Drosophila melanogaster: one gene and its partners. The protein of the gene in region 4 interacts with the protein of the main gene of each other region in a pairwise test. Each region holds a gene or a part of one and is shown on either strand. Other genes may lie near its edges.

Region 1 (7,071 bases), on a different chromosome or scaffold from region 4:
TGGTGCGCAAACCGAAGACTGCTCGTGCGGGGGTCAGATCGCGCAAGACGAGCTCAGGCGTCCAGTCACCAGTCGCCGTCTCTCCGACTCCGATCGATGCTCCCATAGATGTACCCGATTCAACTGCACCAGAGGAGGAGCAGCCGCGTCTCCGTCGCACCGCTAGGCGACGCATCTCGGAACTGAGCGATCAGTCTGCGAATGGCACAGGTGACCTTCGCTCGGAAGCCTCCAGTTCTAGGACCGGCTCTAAGTCCAACTCTGCCGCCAGCACGCAGAACCGGGAGCTACGTCCGCGCTTGCGTCGCACCTCCAAGTCGGAGCATTAGTTATGCACCCGGATCACCGGATCAGCAGACTCAGAATCGGCTCGGAAGGCACTGTATTTTTATTTTTTACTTTGCTTACGTTTAATATTTTTAATTTTAGTTTGGCATTAGTTTGAGTGTTTAAATAAATTGAAGTTAATGTGGAATTGATAGCATCCACCCAACACTTTTGAGTTTTATAAGCAGACGGATTTTTCAAAATAAAGATTATTATTATTGAGCTCCGATCCGAATCCTTTCGGATCTGAAGTTAAGGAGGAGCACAAACGGGTTACTTACATTTCATGATAATGGCGATGCAGTTCTTTAGCTTACAAAGATGTATTCGTTAGATGGTTCGGAGTCATACATATGTACAGGTATTTACAATGGTCGTTCTTACAGCTAGGATTCGGCAAGAGATGCGGGCGTGCGGTGGATATCGTCTGTAAGTCTGTGCGCAGTCAAGTCCGCAGCTTAAGCGGATCTAGACGAGCGTGGAGAGCTCGTGTAGGAGGACGGTGATGTTGCTCATGTCCAGCGTTGGCGGAATGCCCGGGCTGACCGATCCGCTGGCCTCGCGACCTGCTGTTAGGCAGCTGCTATTCGCCAGTGTTCTGGGCGTGGGCGTCGGTGGTGTGGCAGTGGCTGGACGCACCAGAAATGAGGAGTTAACGGCACCCAGTGCTCCGCCTCCGCCGCCCCCTCCACCAAGGAGAAGTGGGTTAAAGCTGCCGTGGGAGTGATTCGGCGAGACCGCCGTCACGGAGGGCGGCACCAGGTGGCTCTGGTGCCCCTGATGAGCGGCCTGGTACGTGTGGAACGGGCCCGGTGGCAGTGGCATGGACACAGGCAGCGTCGCCGGCAGCTGGCCAGCCGAGATCACCGACAAGTTGTGGGACAGCGGTGCTCCACGGTAGCTAATGGTCTTCTCGCGCTGCCACACGAACACGTTGTGCACCATGGCGCCGCCGCAGAATACTATGCCCACTCCAATCAGCAGGCTGGTCACGATCGCCGGCGTCGAGTGGAAGTGACTAAAGGTGTACAGGATCAGGCCGGTCAGAAAGACCGGTATGGAGATGAAGAAGCCGCTGACAGCGCACGTGCGGCTGGCACTGGACTTGACCAGGTATTGGTTATCGCGACCCTCGAAGGCCGGCTCGCGCAGCTTGACGGCGAACAGGAACTGGATGGCGCAAACCAGTAGGCAGCACAGGTTCAGCGATAGGGAGAGGGCGCCCAGTGCCAGGGTGACGTCGTAAACTACAATAAAGTCCTCGCCACCGGCGCCCCGACCCACGGCGTCCTCGCGTCCATTCGGTGATATCCTTAGGAGGAAAATCAGCGAGAGCAGCGCCAGAAGCAGGGAAACTGCAGAAAAAAAAAAAAACAGGCATTACTTGACGCTCTCCCGTCACCATATCGGATGAACTTACTAAGGCAGAGCAGACCCAGGCTGGTGAGGGCCTCGCGCGGTGATGGGCCCGACTTGGGCAGCTTGTGGCGCACAGGATTCGTGCTCGGGTGGCTGAAGTTCCTGTAGTTCTGCGGCAACTGGCTAAGATTGTGTGTCTGGCTTTGAGCTTGCGCATGGTTCGTTTGTTGGTGTTGGTGGTGGTGGTTGTGGTGGTTGTGGTGTTGCTGCTGCTGATGATGATGTTGATGCTGCTGTTGCTGCTGCTGGTGGCTGGCCAGGATGTGCTGGTTGGTGTAGGTGTGATGATGCACACTCCCGTTGCCCAGAAAGTGCCCGTTGGGCGTCAACTGCGTGAGCGGGGTGAGCGGCTTGAGCGGCGTACTGGGCGTGGCAATGTTTAGCAGCGTTGAATTGGCATTGCCCACGCAACCCCGTCCCGCACCTACTCCGCCAGCAACTCCTCCGCCCATGGCACCTGTGCCCTCGTTGAGCAGCGTGCTCGAAACGGACGCATTCAGGGCGGATATATTCAGCGGCTGCGGCGGCCGCAGGTGAATGTTGCGCGCGGTGCTGGCCACAGCAGCTGCTGCTGGGGTCGGTGAGCCACCATTGCCATTGGTGGTGCCGGCCGTGCCTGCTGTGGTCGCGGTGGTTGCAACTCCAATTCCAATACCGATGCTCGCTTCCGCTTCCACCGTTGGGGGTGTGTTGTGGCCACTGCCACTGCCTCCTGTGTGGTTGTTGCTGCTGCTGCTGTTGCTGTTCGGGTTGCTGTTGCAGCTATTGACCAGTAGAGTGGACAGCGGGTTGATGGCCACTGCAGCGCTGGTGGCGCTGGTCGCAGCGGTGCTGCTCGTCGTCGAGGCGTGCTTCAGCATTTCCGGCGGATTGGTCCTCCACTCCGGTCACATGCTGAACTGGGCGTCACGGATCAGTTGCTGTTGCTGCAGCAGGACTAGTCGACCTGCGAAGTGCATTGCTGGCATTAGATGTGTTTCAGTAAAGTGGAAAGTTCAAGAGATTAACTGTGTTGCATATTAGCTATGTGTTGGTAACTGCAAACTGCAACGGTATTAACGGTATTTGTCTGCAGAGAGAGAAAAAACTGCGCCCCATCATAAGCACTTTCATTTCGCCAGTGGCTGCGCATGCGCAAAACTTTCCCATCATTTATATATACATACATATATATTATATACAAATGTATGTACATGCATTTATGTGGAAATTGTGCATCGCATGTATTGTGCAATTAACGGATGGCGAAGAACTTTCCACCAGCGTCTAATGGCGGGAATAAAAGCAAAAGCAAGCGAGGCTCGAAAAAATAAATCTAAAGTACTAAGTACTTAATCTTACCTAGAAGCACTTTTAAATTAGATGTGAATTTGATAGAAAAAGCATCTTATTTCGTAGGAAAACTTCTTCAGGATCAAAAGATACTCGCTACTAGGCTTTTCCTATTGCAGTTTCTTAATGGTGCTTTAGATCTTGTGACTGAACTGACAATATCGATCTGCATATATGTACATACATATGTGTCTTTGAAGATATCTGTTCTACTTTTGGTTTCAAGGTCCGTGATCCGATAGATAGGTTCCCATGGTTCATGGCTGGTTCCTCGGAAACCTGGTTGTTACTCGGAAAAGCTTTTTGAGCTGAGCAAACAGTTTTCCATAGCCCCAAGAAAATGCACTTAAAGGTGTCATCAAAGCGGAGACGACTTCTTCAAGGTATTCAAAACTATTTTTAAACGAATGTAACTGCTTTAAAGACCCGTTTTGTCCCAAAAAAAAAAAAAAAAAATGGAACGTTGAGTGTAATTATGTACGTAGATAGTCCACATTAAGAACCGATAATGAATTAACTACTTTTGCCTTGCATTTAATGCATTTTCATGCAATATCTTGCGACTGGTGGTGTGGTGTAAAAATAACGAAAAACACCTGGTTTCGTACATATGTAAGTAAAAACTAAAAGAACCCAAGACAAATTGCAATTGGCAGGTTGTAAAACGGGTTTACCTCCGACTTCTTCTTTTTTGGTACTACAGTTTCCGTTCTTGACCTGTGACCTTTACATGGTCGTTGTCCAGCGAAGAAAGCGCCGGATTCCACTCCCTAATTGGCGGATCGATATAGCGCGGTGGCAAATGCCGCGGGAGCTATTTCCTCCGCCGCCTGCTCCCCTCCCTCACCCGCACCGAACGCGATGTCCAATCCCAATCCCAATAACCAAGCACCGCCAGCAGGCGTTCCGATTTGGCGGCAAGTGGACGACAACGAAGGCTACAACGACGCCCTGACCGATCGAGTGACAAAGTACGACTAATATTGGATCTCAGGAACTTCGGTACTGCCGGCAGCTATTCGACCAACCAGTTGGGTCCTCTCTCCCTCTCTCTCTCGCTCTCGCTGTGTGTCTCTGTCTCTTCCTCTCACCTCACCCACTCATGCACACGCTGCTCACACGGACAGGTGAGCAGTGGAACGAGCCAATTCCAATATCAATTCCAGCTCCAAACGCCGCTTTGCACAGTGGAACATCATGGCCAAAATGGTAGCTTTTTAGCACAAATATTTTTTGTTTTTTCTACAAGATTTGTCCCAATGTTATTCCCGTATAATGATATCCAAAACGTATATGAATTGTGTTGTGTCACTTTTGTCAAAGTATAATATAAAATGATATACAATAAGCTTACTTTAAAATGTTTTTGGCCCAAAGACGCTACAATTACGGTTTAATATAAAATAAACAAATAAAGGTTATTTTAAATTATCAAGCAAGAATGACGTGGCATTGGGTTCAATGGGAATATTTTTTGAAATAGGTTTTTGTTAGCAAAAGGTGAAAAGAAGTTTAGACGCTTTTCAATCTGTTAATTGTTTGGAAAGGGGAGAAACGGTTGTTTTGATATTGTCGCAAGTGCCAAGCAATGCGACCCACTGTGCCGCAAACCTGCTTAACTCACAACACACGCGATGCGGCGGCTGCTGCTGCTGCTGGTTGTGGTGCCGCTGGTGGCGATGGTGCTTCTAGTCCTCCTGCCTCACTCCACACACAGGTAAAGAATGGAGGCAACGGCTCCAAGTTGCTCAGCCGCATTCCACGAGCTCCAAACTGAAAGGTTGTTGTCGGTTACTACTGCGGTTGCCTATGCGCTTGGGACGGCGAAATTCGCCATTGGGTGTTGCAAGCCGCTTTCAATTCAAGTTCAAATTCGCGCTTTAGTAACAAAATTCACTTATAGTTAGATTAACTCAGTTTTGGCGCTTTTCGTATCCAAATTCACTTCGGTTGGATTCAAAAATAAGAATTGACCGCCAACGCTGCCAGACTGCGTCGAACTGGTCGACAGTGTTGAAAAGTTCGTAAACTGGCGGCAAGAAATCGATATAACTAGTTGAAAGTGTCAATAGTAGTGGAGCTGGAGTCCAGAAAAATATTTCGAATTTAAAATAGATTTAATAAATTGGAATTATTCGATATAACATTGATATTAACCAGGGGGAGCCCTTTTTTATGCTAAGGGTAGTATGAGATATTTCATTTTATACAAGTTGCAGGATTATAAATACGTTTTAAGACATTACGATAGGTAATTGCCAGCTGTTAGTTTGATCATATTTAATGCTGCAGGACTCCTCGAACTTTAATTATGTTAAGTAGCTATGTATGTTATGTATTTGTTTGGCCAAAAATGTTTCAAAAACTCGAGGCTTTTACATAATTAGTTTTAAATATTCCGTACTAATTATCAGTTGTTATAACGTATATTTTTTTTAGGTTTTTTGAATATTTTGAACGTGAAGTCAACGTGTTCAATTAAACACTGCAGAATTTTTTAAATCGCGTGTTTTCAGATTAACACGTTAAATGTATGTTCGTGAATATATCGTATCGATATTCGTGCTCGTGGTTTTGCCATCCCATCTCCAATTTGATGAACATATTTTTCGACGACTGCGATTGCAACGCACTGCCAAAGAGAAAGAGACATGACTGATCCTAGCAAGCTCGCCGTCGCCGTAGTCTGTTCCTCGAACATGAATCGCTCAATGGAGGCGCACAACTTTCTGGCCAAGAAGGGTTTCAATGTGCGCTCCTACGGCACCGGCGAGCGCGTCAAGCTACCGGGCATGGCGTTCGACAAGCCGAATGTTTACGAGTTTGGCACCAAATACGAGGACATCTACCGCGACCTGGAGTCCAAGGACAAGGAGTTGTGAGTTATTCGTTTTTCCGGCCTACCGTTGGCTAATCCCTGCCCTTTCGTCCTGTTTACAGCTACACACAGAACGGCCTGCTACACATGCTCGACCGCAATCGTCGCATAAAGAAGTGCCCGGAACGGTTTCAGGACACCAAAGAGCAGTTCGACATCATCGTCACTGTGGAAGAGCGCGTCTACGACCTGGTGGTGATGCACATGGAGTCCATGGAATCCGTGGACAACCGACCCGTGCACGTTCTCAACGTGGATGTGGTGGACAACGCTGAAGATGCGCTAATGGGCGCCTTTGTCATCACAGACATGATAAACATGGTATGATCATCTGTCGTCCATTCCCTCAATTCGCCCAACGATTCTTGTGCCTTTGCAGATGGCCAAGTCCACGGACCTGGACAACGACATCGACGAATTGATCCAGGAGTTCGAGGAGCGCCGCAAGCGGGTCATCCTGCACTCGGTGCTCTTCTACTGACGACCGACGTCTGCTAACAGTTCGTGTCCAGCTCCAGCACCAACACCAGACTCCCGTAGCCCCGACGCGCTCCAGCCGAGTCACTCGATCTTGTACCCCAGGGGCTGCGATCGCAGAGCATAGGACGTCGGGCATTGCGCGCAGCGCGTGCGGATCCTGGGTTCCGGATTGGTAGCCTAGCATATAAGAATACTGTAAATAGAGAGGGGCCATCGCTGCAGCGAAAGCACATCCAACAACGACCAGCACCCACACACTCGCATACTCCAAACACCTGATTCGTAATCCACATCAACACCACACATGCAAGCAACTGGCTAATGAATTGGAATATAACACACAACCAATGACGACCATTTCCACACGGCTGCCCCCCAAAACCCCTGTAGTAGTATGTGTACGTGTCCGTATTCCTTGTAATTTCGCCCGTCGACTGGGGGTCTTATCACAGGCTCTCGCTTCCCTCAGCTGGCGAAGGCGCCGACCATCTGACTCCGACCCGTTCTCCCGTTCGGCCGCTCTGCCGCTCTCTTCGCCCGGCTTTGAGTCCGATTCGGACTCAGATTCGGATTCGATTCACATAAAGTGAAATCTCGCATCGTGATTGTGTGAATGAGCATGCACGCCAGAGAGC
Region 2 (4,960 bases), 9.8 Mb from region 4:
TTCCGCCCCTATAAGTTACTTGTGTGCATTGTGTATTGCAATTGATTTGAACTGATTGCAACAATTTTTGGAAATTAATCAAATGTACTCATCCCTATTTTCAGATTTGATTTCAAGTTTTTAAAAAAAAGTGAGGCCGTTGACATTTCACTGCCTTGTTGGAGAGGTCAGGGCTTTTCAATATATTGTTTTATATTTAGTTAATTCACTAACATTACCATTCAAAACGGTGCCTAATCATTTTTTTTATCATTATATTTTGTGTCTATTTACAAAATTTAATCGTACTACTTGTATAAGGTTTATGCTCTTATTTTTGCAATAAAGTTATTTATTGTTAGTTATGCAGGATTCACTAGCAGCTAACTTAGTACGGGGTACCCAGTAGTCGAAGAATGGGCATTTCCCTCTTTGTTGACGTTGCGAGTCAGCTGTGCCTTAGTGCTGGTAAACAAACAAAAGCATTAACCATTTATCGGCCAATTGGCGCCAAGTTTAAAATGCACAAGTCTCGGTTTTTCATCTTTATGTTTATTAAAACGTTACAATTTAATTCTATTACACTTTTGCTTATAAACGAAAGAAACAAATCATTGTCAATTGGTACATCATATTTTATACATCGTTTTCATATTCAAACTTCTAGCAATCAACAAAAGGCAAACACCAAGGTTACAACTTATTTATAAGAGTGTACAAATCATATAAAAAAATCGGCAAAAAACATGGATATTGACAAGCATAGATATAAAATCAGTTATGTCTCTCATTTGGGGTGGGCTCGAAAGTGACCAAACTTTTTTCTTGCCTGTTCTTTATGTACAAAAATAAAATGTCCTAAATGTTTAAAATGTCGAAGTTTGTCGTTGAATGTGCGCGAATGGATTTGGAGTTGGGTTGGGGCGATCCCAATAAGTGAGCCATTGGAGAGGGGTATTGCGGAAGTCCCTTTATTGAAAATTGTCAAGTTCTTATACGTGCCGGTGTTGTGCTGCTGATGCTGCTCCTGTTGTTGTCCCATTTTATGGTAATTCCTAACTAACATTTCTCAGAAGGAGTAAAACACGGTAAAAGTCAAATGTTGAAAGTGTTTCGTTCAAGGAGCGACCGTTGCCTGGCCTCTACCACTTCTTCTTGTGCTCGTCCATGGAAACGCCGCCAGGGCCCAAGGACACGATCATGAGGAGGCCACCGATCACCGAGAGAGTCTGCGAAGGGAATGCGTAAAAATAACACAAATTCGTGCGAAAGATATTGTAAACCTGCTAACCTGGAAAAAGTCGTATTTCAAGAAATCCCTGAGTGGCTTGTAGGACGGAATGGTCCACCAGGCATTGTGGTACAGGTTCAGGATCGTAAGCAGAGCCACCAGAATCAGGGCGGACAGCTTCGTCTTGTATCCCAGCACGACCAGCACCATCAGAATGGAGCCGATGATGTCCTGTATAACTTGCCATACGCTCAGCTCAAAGCGGATCAAAGTGATGAACATGAAGGCCAGCAGGATGCGGCCCGCCAGCTGCATGAAGTTCTTGGGCTTGTTTTCGCCCATCGATGGCACGCCGGCAAACAGGCTGCGCCCCTCTATCCTGGCTTCCGCCAGGACGAGCAGTAGGGCTCCGATGAGTGCAAAGTTTCGCAGTAAGAACTGGAAGTCCCACAGAATGGAGTAGGCAACGGTCTGCAAACAGAGGATCGGGTTAACGTCAAGGCTTTTGCTTCTGGCTGATATAAATGCAGACTCACCTGCAACACCACAATGAAGAAAAGCAGTCCCACCGCTATGTCGACCTTAAATCTGGCCATCACCATGCCGCAGCCGCCCAGTTGGCCCAACAGGTTGACGAGCACAAAGACGGTGGCCAGGAACTTGCCGCAGCCCCAGCTCATGTCCATGTACTCCCGCTGCTCGTTCCATTGGATGTACATGCGCAGGCCGTCCTCGAAGAACGTGGCGATGAGGCACAAACGGGCCACTGTGGGCAGCACATTTTTGCCGCGCTTGATGACCTGCAAAAATGAGTGTTCGATTGGTTCTGGTTGAGTTGAGAGCAATTGGGATGGGTGCTGATATGGTGATAAGGGGACTACTGACAAGGTGATAAGGGATTTAAATATACAATGCCGTTGAGCGTGGCTTGCGCGTAGTCGCTAGAAATCGCCCGCTGGCTGTGACGTGTCTCTAAACGCTAGTATCTCTCGATTGCTATCTGCCAGCTAACGGGTTTTGGCCCGGCTGTCAATGTAACTTCATACATGTATGTATGTAAATCGCGAGCAAGTTCACCTGGCTTTCTAGCCCAACTATTACGGAACTCGACCTGGCCGCTGGCGTCCAGCTGCCCGCTATTTCTTTTTCAACACTTTCACTTGCGGAGACAGCTCTCTCGCACACACACACAGACACATACGCATCAGCACACAGGTAGAAAATAAGCAGCGAGAGAGAGAGTTTTCCCTGCGGCAGACGCAACAACTGTCAATTGCGGTACTGGAGTACAAGGCAAACCCATCATCTGGGTTGCACCCAGATTCTTATTGGAAGCAAATGCCCAGCACGTTGCCCCCATGTCAGCGGATCGTGATTATATGCAGCCAAGACCCTCGAACTTTGCCGCGTTTGGGTGACGTTGGCAGTTTTCCCAGTTTGCAGCTGCCAGGGCTTCCCCGCAAACGCCATTTGGGGCGCATCGGGAAGACGCTTCCTGCGGTGGATATGGAGTCCTGGTGGACTTCTTTTTGGCAGTGGAACCTAATATATCTTACCTGTTCCGCCACATCCTCCGTTTTCGCTATGTACTCGTTGGGTATGCTCATGTTGGCTGCTTTGGGCTGATCCGATCTCTCACTTTGGGGCAATCGTCTGTGGAGACACTTTGGCAATTCGTTTCTGACTTCTTGGGCGTCGCGTCGCTCTCCAAATTGTTGTTAAGTTACCAAAAAATCATGAATTAAAAGGCAGGAACTTAAAAACACACACGCACGACAAAGTATAGCCGTGATGGGGCCTATCGTTATCGCTGCGTTATCGATAGCCAATGGGCAACACATGGCCAATCGAATTGATAATTCGCTGTGAATGGGAAAGCAGCAATCAAAAAACAAGCGTGCCTGTGCTCATTTTATTTGACAAGTTGAACGCTATTTATTTTCCCTGTAAAGATGTCCGTTCAACAATCCAAGCCAAAGCAGAAGAAAGTCAAAGTTAAAAAACAGGATGATGCCGGCTATGGATCCGGGGAATTTTCCTTGGACTGGGATGTAGACAGCTACAAGACGGAATACGAAAGTGATGAGCACTGGGATCTGCGACGCAGCTTCATGCTGGCCCACAAGGATCGTTTTGAGGAGGACCGGCTGGTGTGCCTGGCCCAAACGTTCGTCAACATGGAGTTCATGGGCTGCAAGTATCCAAGCGCGACGATGCTTTTGGTGGCCGAGTTGTCCAAGGAAATCGCAGCGGATTTCCGTCAGAAACGGGAACAGCGCCTGAAGAGAACATTTGTCTCGGCGTCGGATGCGGCGGAGCAGCGCGCCAAAGGTAGACGACTGAACAATTAGTGGGCCCATAGGCGAGAGAAGATTCTTTTTATCACTAGTAACTATACGAGCCAGAGAGACCAAAGCCTAATGCCTAATTCCAACTACTAGGGCGCCGGGCTCCACCCCTTCCCTCGACGAGCTCCCCAGAGGATAGCTCACACATAAAACGCCAGTGTTTTGGCGGCGGAGATCCAGTCGATCTCTATCAAGATCTGCGTTTCGGTCGGCTCATTGTGTACTTGGCTGGGGGACGAGCCTGCCTGCAAAACTCCTGCAACATTGCGAATGTCAAGTACGAAGAGCGTGTCAGCCGAGATCAGCCATTAAGCGATAATACAAAATACGCCGAATTATTAGTAAATGATGAGGTAATAGCGACAGGACAGGGGGAGAGCCTTAAGGCGGCCAAGAAAGCTGCCTATAAGCAGGCGCATTTGACGATCCAGTCCTATTGCTATAGTATTAAGGTATGAAATTTCTGAAATAATGTATGCCTTATTAAACCCGGTACTACGCTACACAGCTGAATGCCACGCGCGACACCATCAAGGTGGAAAAAAACAAGGACGGCGTCAACATCAAAGTCACCAATGAGTCCGCCGACAGTCCGTGCGATCCCAAATTGGACCCCAGCAACAAGGGATATCGCATGATGCGACTGATGGGCTGGACAGGCGGTGGCTTAGGGCGACTGAAGCAGGGACGTGAAGAGCCCGTATGGTAAGAGTTCGACTTTTAACGTATCACCAAACGAAACTATTTTATTTTATATTTTCAGTTATCTGCTAAAGAACAATCGTAATGGTCTTGGATTAATAAATCCAAAGGGAAATTTCGCTGATTACCGACGGCTTATAGAAAACTATGTGAGATCGGACGATATACGTGACATGCAGTTTGAGCCCACGTTTTCGAAGGAAGAAAGAACCACGCTTCACCAGTAAGCACCGTCATCCCACATCGTAAAAAATAATTGCTTATTATGTTGGCATTTCCCTTTACAGAATCGCCAGACAATTTGGCTTGCGTTCCGCTAGCTATGGGAGTGGAGAGAGCCGGCGCCTTTTGATTACCAAGAAGATCGACTATGGCACAATACTGACTGAGGTCCTGCTTCGGCGGAACCCCAAGTTTTGTGATCGTTACTTTGTGCACGTACCCATGCAGAAGGCGCACCTGTTTCCTGGTCATGTGGCCGACCTGGAGATGAACGATGTATGTGAATAGGCAGGACGAACAAAATCTCAGCTCATAGTACTCTTATAAAAAGATCTTTATTCTTAGTTTTAATATAAAGGATGTAAAATATATGAAAAGTATTTCTGACCGTGTACTTTGTTTACGTTTCGTGCTGAATGGCTGCGAGAAAGAAGAAGCATAGCTGCAATTTTAGTCTCCTGTATGTGCGATTTCAATG
Region 3 (5,025 bases), on a different chromosome or scaffold from region 4:
TGGAGGAGATAAAATGGGATAACATATTGTTGATACTTTTATACTTGACACACAAAACACAACAGAAGATGCAGATAAGAAAGTGATTCCTAGTTGTGATTGTTTCTATTTTCCTAACATCTTTAGTTGGGAAAAACAAAATTACTGCATAATTACAATATAGTTTGTAGTAATCAAATATTTGCTATTGGATAACTTGTCATTTCAGAAGAATTAGATAAGATAACAAAATACAAAACAATAATATTTGTACTTCAAATGGAAAACAATTTGGACTTTGTTAATTTGTGGATAAGGTTAAAGGAATGCAACAAGTGTAAATTATGTCCAATCCAATTGATATTTTAAATACATTGAAAGTAAGTATTGCGAATTTTATATATTTTTACTAAGTATTCAAAACATCCATATACTGTGAAATATTTTCGAAACGAATCATGTAGCTTAAATGGAAATAATTGACTTAAACAATGTGTTCGATTAGTCAGTCAATTGCTGTCCCACTTTTCAGACAGATTTTCCCATCCTCTAACCAAAGAAAATCTAGAACTCACCTCACCCACGAATTTTTGTTGTTTGATTGGCAACCGATTGTCGGTTGATTGACAAACTGTTTGAATGTGTGCGAGGAGGGGCAGTGACTTTACGATGACATGGCTAACGACTATTGTATACCCTTGAAACGTAACCTTCTTGCTTCTTAAGCTAATACTATTTAATAATAGCAATTGATTTAGAGAGCATTTTACCTTCGGCTTCAGTTTGAGGAAATTTTATTTATGTTTCTGCCAGCTGATAAGCGGCTGTCGATTGTTTTTTAGGCGCTAACATACGGACAACAATTCAATCAAGTATCCATCACAAACACACGCATTGACAGCCGTGCCCAGATAAGCAAATGGTTGGATAACAAAGGCCTACACAGATAATACCAATCGCAAACACAGGGAAGCATTCGGGTTTGTTTGTATGCGTGAATATTTGCTATAAAGTCGAAAGAAAAAAAGTTTATCGCACGCAAACAAAAACGACCTTCGGTAATGATGCCTTTGTATTTACCTAGCCATATTAATGTCGCGTCGGTTTCTTATTGCCAATTTGCCATTTTAAGGTACAAGTATATTTTCGAAAGCATACACGTTAAGATTCCGTTCTTCTCTTCCTGGGTTTTTATGTGCAACTGCTGCTGCATGATTGTAAATATTTTGGGATTTCATTTTATTTTTCCCTGGCACGCTTATTCATTTCCCGCCTGTTTACATTTTAATTGCTCGGTCAGCACTGGCGTTAAAATTTTTAAATCAAGAAGATCACAAAAGCGTTTTCCCTCGCATTCTCAACATTTGTATCTCTCTTTTTTTCGGTCAGCAAAGTACACCGCATATAGAGTGCCCTACAAAATCTGAGTACTAGTTAAATATTTATTCCAGTGAAATAGACTGATAAAAGGCCAAACAATTAATCTTAATACGCAGAAGTACCGTTCAAGATTGTGGAAAATTTCGAAAATTTTATACGGTGCTCTTAAAACATTCTGAAACAAACTGAAACAAGCGACCTAAAACTTATTTTTAAGTGTATTTATGTTTATAAGCCAAAATAAAATCCTACAAGTTTAAAACATTTTTATTGCTTAGATAATTTATTTACCAAAAAGTTATCACGAATGCAAATATACCTGTGCTGCAGTTACTGCTTCTCCGTAATTGCTTTCTGTTTTGTATAACAACAATAATATTTATTTCATAATATTTACTTTATTTTCCAAACAGTGCATTGTTATTTGGCCGGTAATGTTTACTAATTTGCGTGCTGTTGTCATTGCAAAAAATGTACCAACATGTTACATCTTTGTGCACTTTTGTTTCCGGCTTTGTGACAATTGAGTGCATAAACTTAATTACTGTCAAGATGTCACAACAGCAAGGCAATTGGATGATCGAGTGATATACTATTTGTTTTCAGAGATATAAGGAAACACTATGAAGACTCATTTCATGCTTTATGTGTTCGGGAAATAAAGTTCTTGAACATTTCATGTATACAACACTATTAATTATAGTATTCTCAATTATTCTCTTTTGATTTGTACGTTGTTTACTGCTGGCAGTTTTTTTTTTAAATTTCTTTAAAAATTACGTTTTTTTTTTACCATTCACAACTTTGGCCTCCAACTTAGTGTTTACTCCTTTTCTTGAAAAATGAGGCTAAGAAAGCCTGGGAAAATTACCTACACATCAACAAAGTGTAAACAATGATTTTTGTGAAAATAGACCAAGTTTTTTAACTCGCACACAAAAGCACGGAAATTGGCGAAAGAAACGAATTCAACTAACGGACGAAAAAGCTTAGGTCATTGACCAAAAAAAGAAATAACATTGCAAAGAGCGCTAGACTGCTCAGCTCTCTCTTACTATTTCTCTTTATAGTTCGAACACGTTTTCCAAGTAAAAATCCAACGACGCCACTTTTACCTGCGTTTGTGTGTGTGTGTGCATAGGTGAGTGAGCTCCCCACTCACCTATGCACACACACACGCGAGCGGTACAAAACCATTCTGTTATTTTCCTTGTTTACAAAAGCAACAAAACCAAATTGTTGTTATTGCTTTTGTATTGCTACCAAAGAGGCGCGCTTACGTCATTCATAATATTAAAGCGCAAAGAGAGAGTCTAGAACTACAACAACAGCAATAAGAGCACGAAAGCAATCTGGCACATGCTGTTTTTGTTGGGACTGAAATTACCTGAGGAATAATTTAACCATTTTGTGCATTTTGCGCTCTCTTCTCGACTATTTTGTTTAATCAATTCTTTACGGCAGCTCCATTGTTTTCAGACCGCACTCTCATTTGCGTGGAGCCGATTCACTTGGCACGTTTTAGAAAAAAACAAAACATCCTTTGGTTTATTACTCAGCAAGCATTTGGTTCACTGTTGTCACATTTTAAACAATTAGTTTATTGTATTTGCATTAGGAAACTGTTGGGTTCTCTTTAGATTTCTAAATTCGTCTCTGGTGTGACCAGCTGGTGGAACGGCGAAAATACTATCGAGTATTTGGTAACACTAATGCTTGTACAGAATGTTAACATTTGTGAGTGAATTTTGTAAGTTGGTTAACACCACGTAAAAACTGTGAAACTTATTTAATTAATATATATTATATATTAAAGCATGCTGTCTTTGCAGCAGTGCTGATATCTTTTATAAAAAAACAACTTAAGATGAAAAAGAGGTAAAATATATTGTAAGAGTTCACATTTTCGGTACCTGATTGTTTCCATATACACTTGGGTAAATAAGTACAAAATTCATTTGTCGAGAAAAAGTTACATTGGCACCATTGTATAACAGTTCAAAGTTAATGATGTTTGATGCTGCCAATGTAAATTCTTCAGATAACGAGCCTTGCCATCTTAATAGATTAGGAATACAAGCGTTGCCACCAAAATTTTAACGAACGTATACTCAGTTGTATTCGATGGTTGTTGTCTTGGGTGCATGTAAAAATTAGCAGAAGAGCACTTTTTTGTGTTAAAATTAACATTTCAATAACATTGTAAAATTCTGTTAGGTAACAGTATCACAAATTTAAATCTATGTTATATTTGCTCTGATCTAACTTTTGCAAATTATTCAAGATTATTTTAAAATCCTGACATCGTGGGTATATCTGCATTATTATTAATGAAATGTTGTATTAACAAAATACGGAATGTGGAAATTAGAAAATTTTTTCTTTAAGATAATAGAAAAATTAGTAAAATCTTAATGTTCCCTTTTTAAATGAAAAATGTCTTTTCGAATAGTTCTTATTTACTAAATGTATATAATTTTGATTTGGAAGTGCCACTTCCAAGTGATATCAAGAATTAAGTGCTTGTGGCTAGTCATATCTGAGAAAGTGCATGAAGACTTGTAATACTTTGCCGCCTCTGCTGATTTAAGTATATTTTTAAAAGACAATTAAATGATTTGCCTGCAAGTGTTGCAGTAATGAATGGACCCAGAAGTGTTTGCTTCTTAATTGGCAATTTCCTAATGGCGAAATGCGTTTTGCACCTACTTTAAATGCCACCTTGGCGTATTGTTTTGGCTTAATTTAAATTACCTGTTTGAGTAATGAACAGTCTCAGCCACGGGCTGCAACAATAATAACGCGACTCTCAACTCATTATGCATTGTTTATTGCCACTCAAAGTAGCATTTTCACCCTCTTTCCAGCATTTTCCGAGCACTGCAGCATTACTCTTAATGCATGTGCAACAATAGGAAACTCCACTTCCACTTTTCTTCGCCCACCAACTCTTCTTGTGCACTGATATTTGGCTTTTCGCAGAAACAGTCGGAAAAACAGCAGCCTTTTCCTTAACATTTTCTTGTAAATAAATATCTATTAATAAGAAACTTACATAAATCATTTAAAAGGTGTGTATATATAAAACTATAAATTAAGAATTCGCTATTTATAAATAATTATGAATTGAATAAGTAAATCCCTTAAAATCATTTTGCTAGCAAAAATAGCAATTCAGTTATTGAATGGCCCCATTTTCATCTAAACTGGGATTTTCCCGATAGCTTTTCCTCGCAGCAGTAGGATCAGTGCAGTCACCGGATTTATATTGGCACATCCAGGTGTTCCTGGATGGCAAGTCAAGTCTGGCACTTCATTATGCACATTAAGATACAAGTTCTTTTCGCACTGACGAGGTGGTATCTTAACTTAATTTAACCAACTAGGGGCCAGCGGGCGGTCCTCTGAGGGGGCGGGTTTTCCGTGTGTGCCGCTAATGGGCTTAATAAAAAATGCAACATTTTGATTTAATTTAATTGAAATTCACGCCACTCGAGCAACTCCATTAGGCAGAAACGTGTCCGACGTCAAGGATGCAGATGATGGCAGCGTCGAGGAAATCAAATTACCCAGCGGCAGTGGTTCTAGTGTGCGAAGAGGGAGGCGGGGGTGGTATGCCGCAGGGGGCGGGACTGTGGGCGTGGCCGTTGCCGTGGCTTGTAGCAA
Region 4 (3,028 bases):
TCGTTTGGCAATTTATTATCGATTTTTGGTTTAGAACCCCAGCTTCTGTCCCAGTTTTATTTCAGAAACGGATCTTGGGACGCGGAGGATCTCAAACACCATCGAGATAGGGACTCACCATGCACTCCGCAAATGTAACAAGTGAATTACGCGTTCGATTTAATTTTCGCTAAGAACACGAAGCGAAAAATGGTTGACAAATCAAACAGCTGACGAGTAGAATTCGCGGTACTGCCCACTTGCTGGTTCTGCACTCGCCGAGTGGCAGCCTCGCACATGAGAGCGCTGAGCGGAAATATTTAAAATTTAGGCGTACTAAAATATCAAGATAAGGTTTGTGGAAGTCTATATTGTATAAATTAGCTAAATAACAGTGCAAAAATCTTTGTTTCTAACTCTTAAAGGTTAGAAAAACGTGTGAAAGTAGAACTAAAGACAAGGGGAGCCAATTTATGGACTTCTTATTCTGTGAAAAACTAATTGGCTTACTAAAATAAGAAAAATTCTAAGCTCGATATAAATATGTAGTCCATTTTAATAATGTTTGTTATTTGATACTAAAGAAAAGGCATTTCTGGGCGTCATTTATAGGTTTTTTTAAACGAGGTGGGATCATACGTCAGATAATTATGAAATTGACGTTTCAGATAGATCAACAATAATTTCTCGCATATCTTCTTCATCGAGAGTCAGTGAGTGCTGTTTCAATAATGTTTTCAAATCTACTTTATTCTTAACATTGTATGGATTGTGTGCGCGCCATAAGTATCTAGCTAAGCAGGGCACTCCTTCGCAGCTTTGTGATCGAATCCAGCGCTTCTCCTAGCTGCCGCTGCAGATTAGTGCTCTCGGCGACCAGCTCTATGCAGTCCTTGAACTTGTTAACAGCATTGCGCAAGCTCATCGGTGGCAGTACCCTGGAAAAAGGAGTAAGTGAGTTATCACATTGACCCACATACACACAGGCTTTATCAGTGCTCACGAGAACCAATGCAGGGGCTCCACGAAGCCCTTGGACTTGTCAACCGCCTGTCGCTCGATGCAGACGCCATCCGTGGAGTCCACGACCCGGCAGAGGGCGTTAAACTCGGCACTGTTCTCCGTGGGAATCTGGGCCGTGGACACGCACTGGCTGCCTCCGTGCTGAAATCTAGTGCGGGCCAGGAGAATCGCCCCACTGGCGTTACATCGCTCCAAATTTATCCGACACTGGGTGTGCTCCTCAACGAGGTGGAACATGTCCAGGTACAAGTCATCCAGTAGCTGGCCCGCGGCCTCCTTTTCGCTTCTTTGAATGCTCATTGCGGGCTGAGGAATAACTTTATTTATATATTATTATTATTTCGGTCTGACGGAGATTTTTCAATCATATGATCGCACCAACAACCCTGACTTATCGCTGCTATGCGCCGAGTTGGCACTACCGTCGATAACAAATGTTATCGCCAGCCCTATTCTGATTTGCAAACTAACAACCGACTGATTTGAATCAAAACGAAAAGAAACGGCTGAAAAAAGTTTGGTTTTGTCGCGTGCATACGAGTTTTACGCAATGAATTGTAATTACTGCCGCAACAAACACGGTCATGCCCAATTAACAAGTAAACGGTCAAGCTGCACACTCTCGGGGAATCCGACTAACGAAAAGGGCAAACAGCTGTTGTTGTTTTCTTGCGCATTAGTTTTTGGAGAGGGGTGAGGTGAAAGGGGCTGGCTTCGCAGTTTGTTTTACGATGCTGTTGCGAGATTAGAGAAAGTTTATAAAAAGCCCTGCCATTAGCATTCAGCAGCATTAGCAATCGGGAAGCAGTCAAGTTGAAACCACGTCGGGATTAACGCCACCAGACTAACAACGAGTGGATGCCCCAAGTGCAAACAGTTCCAAAGTCAACTCAAATATACCCAAATCCCAGGAGATTGCATCGGATCGGGTGATAATGCCCGATAGTTGTACGGCGGACCTACGAAGTCGCCGCCGCGAAAATCCAATCGACCGCAACGGCAATATTGGCGGCACAGGCAAGGAGCAGGTGCTCGTCAGCTAGCCAATAGTGTTTTTGACGCCTGGCTTGTTAAATCCATCGCGTGTGCATATGGCATCGGCATCCTATACGATATAGCCGCTCACTATACCATATATATATGTGCACCACACACATCCATACCTATCTGGCCATACGTAACCGCGTTTGATGACAAACATTGACGAAAAGCGTGGCCAAGTGTGCACTGAAAGAAAAGCGAATGCTATGATTCCTTCTACGAACCCTATAAAAATATTTATCAACATTCTAGTTTTAGTGTGAGCAAATGCTGGCACAATCGCTAGGATGATTGGAAACATTTTTATCTCAATTTATACGTCTCGTATGGGGCCTTATTTTTTTCACTATTTGTATCTAATCGCGAAAATCGTAGGCTTGCCCATGCCACCGCTTCAGTAAGGGGGGGTTGCCTGCCTATTCCGGTATACTCTCTAAAAGCATTAGCTTTTTCATCAATAGACTTCCCAATCTGCGACTGATAAGCACATATGCACATGAAGTAAAAAAGTTAGATAGGCCTTCTTTTCAATCTATCCCACACCTGAAGTAGTTTACCCGTCCGCATACATAAGTGCAATCATTAATGACTCGTCGTTTGGTTATCTCTTCAATTATTTAGGCGACAAGCACCAGGCCTAAGCTGACAACCGAATATACCCAACGGACTAACGAAATGACTGCGAGCAAGGAAGGTCAAGAATCCAGGCGAACCCTCAGCGACAGTTCCGCAGAGGACGTCAGGAATACAGGATCGAGGACCAGGACCAACGACGACGAAATGTGGCGCAATGAACTTGCTATGAACACGGACAGCAGCTCCGTTCAGCCAGAAAAGCGAGAGGAACGAAGCCACAGAACAGGAAACTCTAATGCGAAGCTCAGCGATGCCGTAGATGTTGTTCTTCGCGTTCTCCTCGTCATTACCTTCTTGTGAGTGTTTTGTGCTTCATTCCAAATGCCGACAAAGTCCATAACTCATATAT

The links.
Region 1: the proteins of CG14671 (region 4) and CG14223 interact in a two-hybrid assay, tested with the Drosophila melanogaster proteins (one large-scale study listed by BioGRID).
Region 2: the proteins of CG14671 (region 4) and Surf4 interact in a two-hybrid assay, tested with the Drosophila melanogaster proteins (one large-scale study listed by BioGRID).
Region 3: the proteins of CG14671 (region 4) and raw interact in a two-hybrid assay, tested with the Drosophila melanogaster proteins (one large-scale study listed by BioGRID).

The regions. Positions count from the first base shown.
Region 1 is NC_004354.4:19,658,917-19,665,987, forward strand, and holds CG14223 (uncharacterized protein), read right to left. Parts: upstream 5,056-7,071; 5' UTR 4,703-5,055; intron 4,452-4,702; exon of another isoform or gene 3,753-4,451; intron 3,378-3,752; exon of another isoform or gene 3,088-3,377; intron 2,693-3,087; 5' UTR 2,607-2,692; coding exon 1,748-2,606; intron 1,683-1,747; coding exon 796-1,682; 3' UTR 526-795; downstream 1-525. Other genes in the region: elys, read left to right, coding at 1-329; Ssu72 CTD phosphatase, read left to right, coding at 5,730-5,956, 6,019-6,277, 6,336-6,437.
Region 2 is NT_033777.3:15,343,143-15,348,102, forward strand, and holds Surf4 (surfeit 4), read right to left. Parts: upstream 3,035-4,960; 5' UTR 2,818-3,034; coding exon 2,767-2,817; intron 2,011-2,766; coding exon 1,747-2,010; intron 1,682-1,746; coding exon 1,271-1,681; intron 1,209-1,270; coding exon 1,122-1,208; 3' UTR 511-1,121; downstream 1-510. Other genes in the region: CG31301 (uncharacterized protein), read left to right, coding at 3,163-3,541, 3,652-4,010, 4,067-4,263, 4,322-4,483, 4,548-4,770. UniProt on the Drosophila melanogaster protein: Endoplasmic reticulum cargo receptor that mediates the export of lipoproteins by recruiting cargos into COPII vesicles to facilitate their secretion.
Region 3 is NT_033779.5:8,737,639-8,742,663, forward strand, and holds the start of raw (raw), read right to left. Parts: upstream 3,023-5,025; 5' UTR 2,776-3,022; coding exon of another isoform or gene 2,747-2,775; intron 1-2,746.
Region 4 is NT_033777.3:5,563,424-5,566,451, forward strand, and holds CG14671 (uncharacterized protein), read right to left. Parts: upstream 1,393-3,028; 5' UTR 1,303-1,392; coding exon 983-1,302; intron 918-982; coding exon 770-917; 3' UTR 554-769; downstream 1-553. Other genes in the region: CG12746 (uncharacterized protein), read left to right, coding at 2,719-2,975.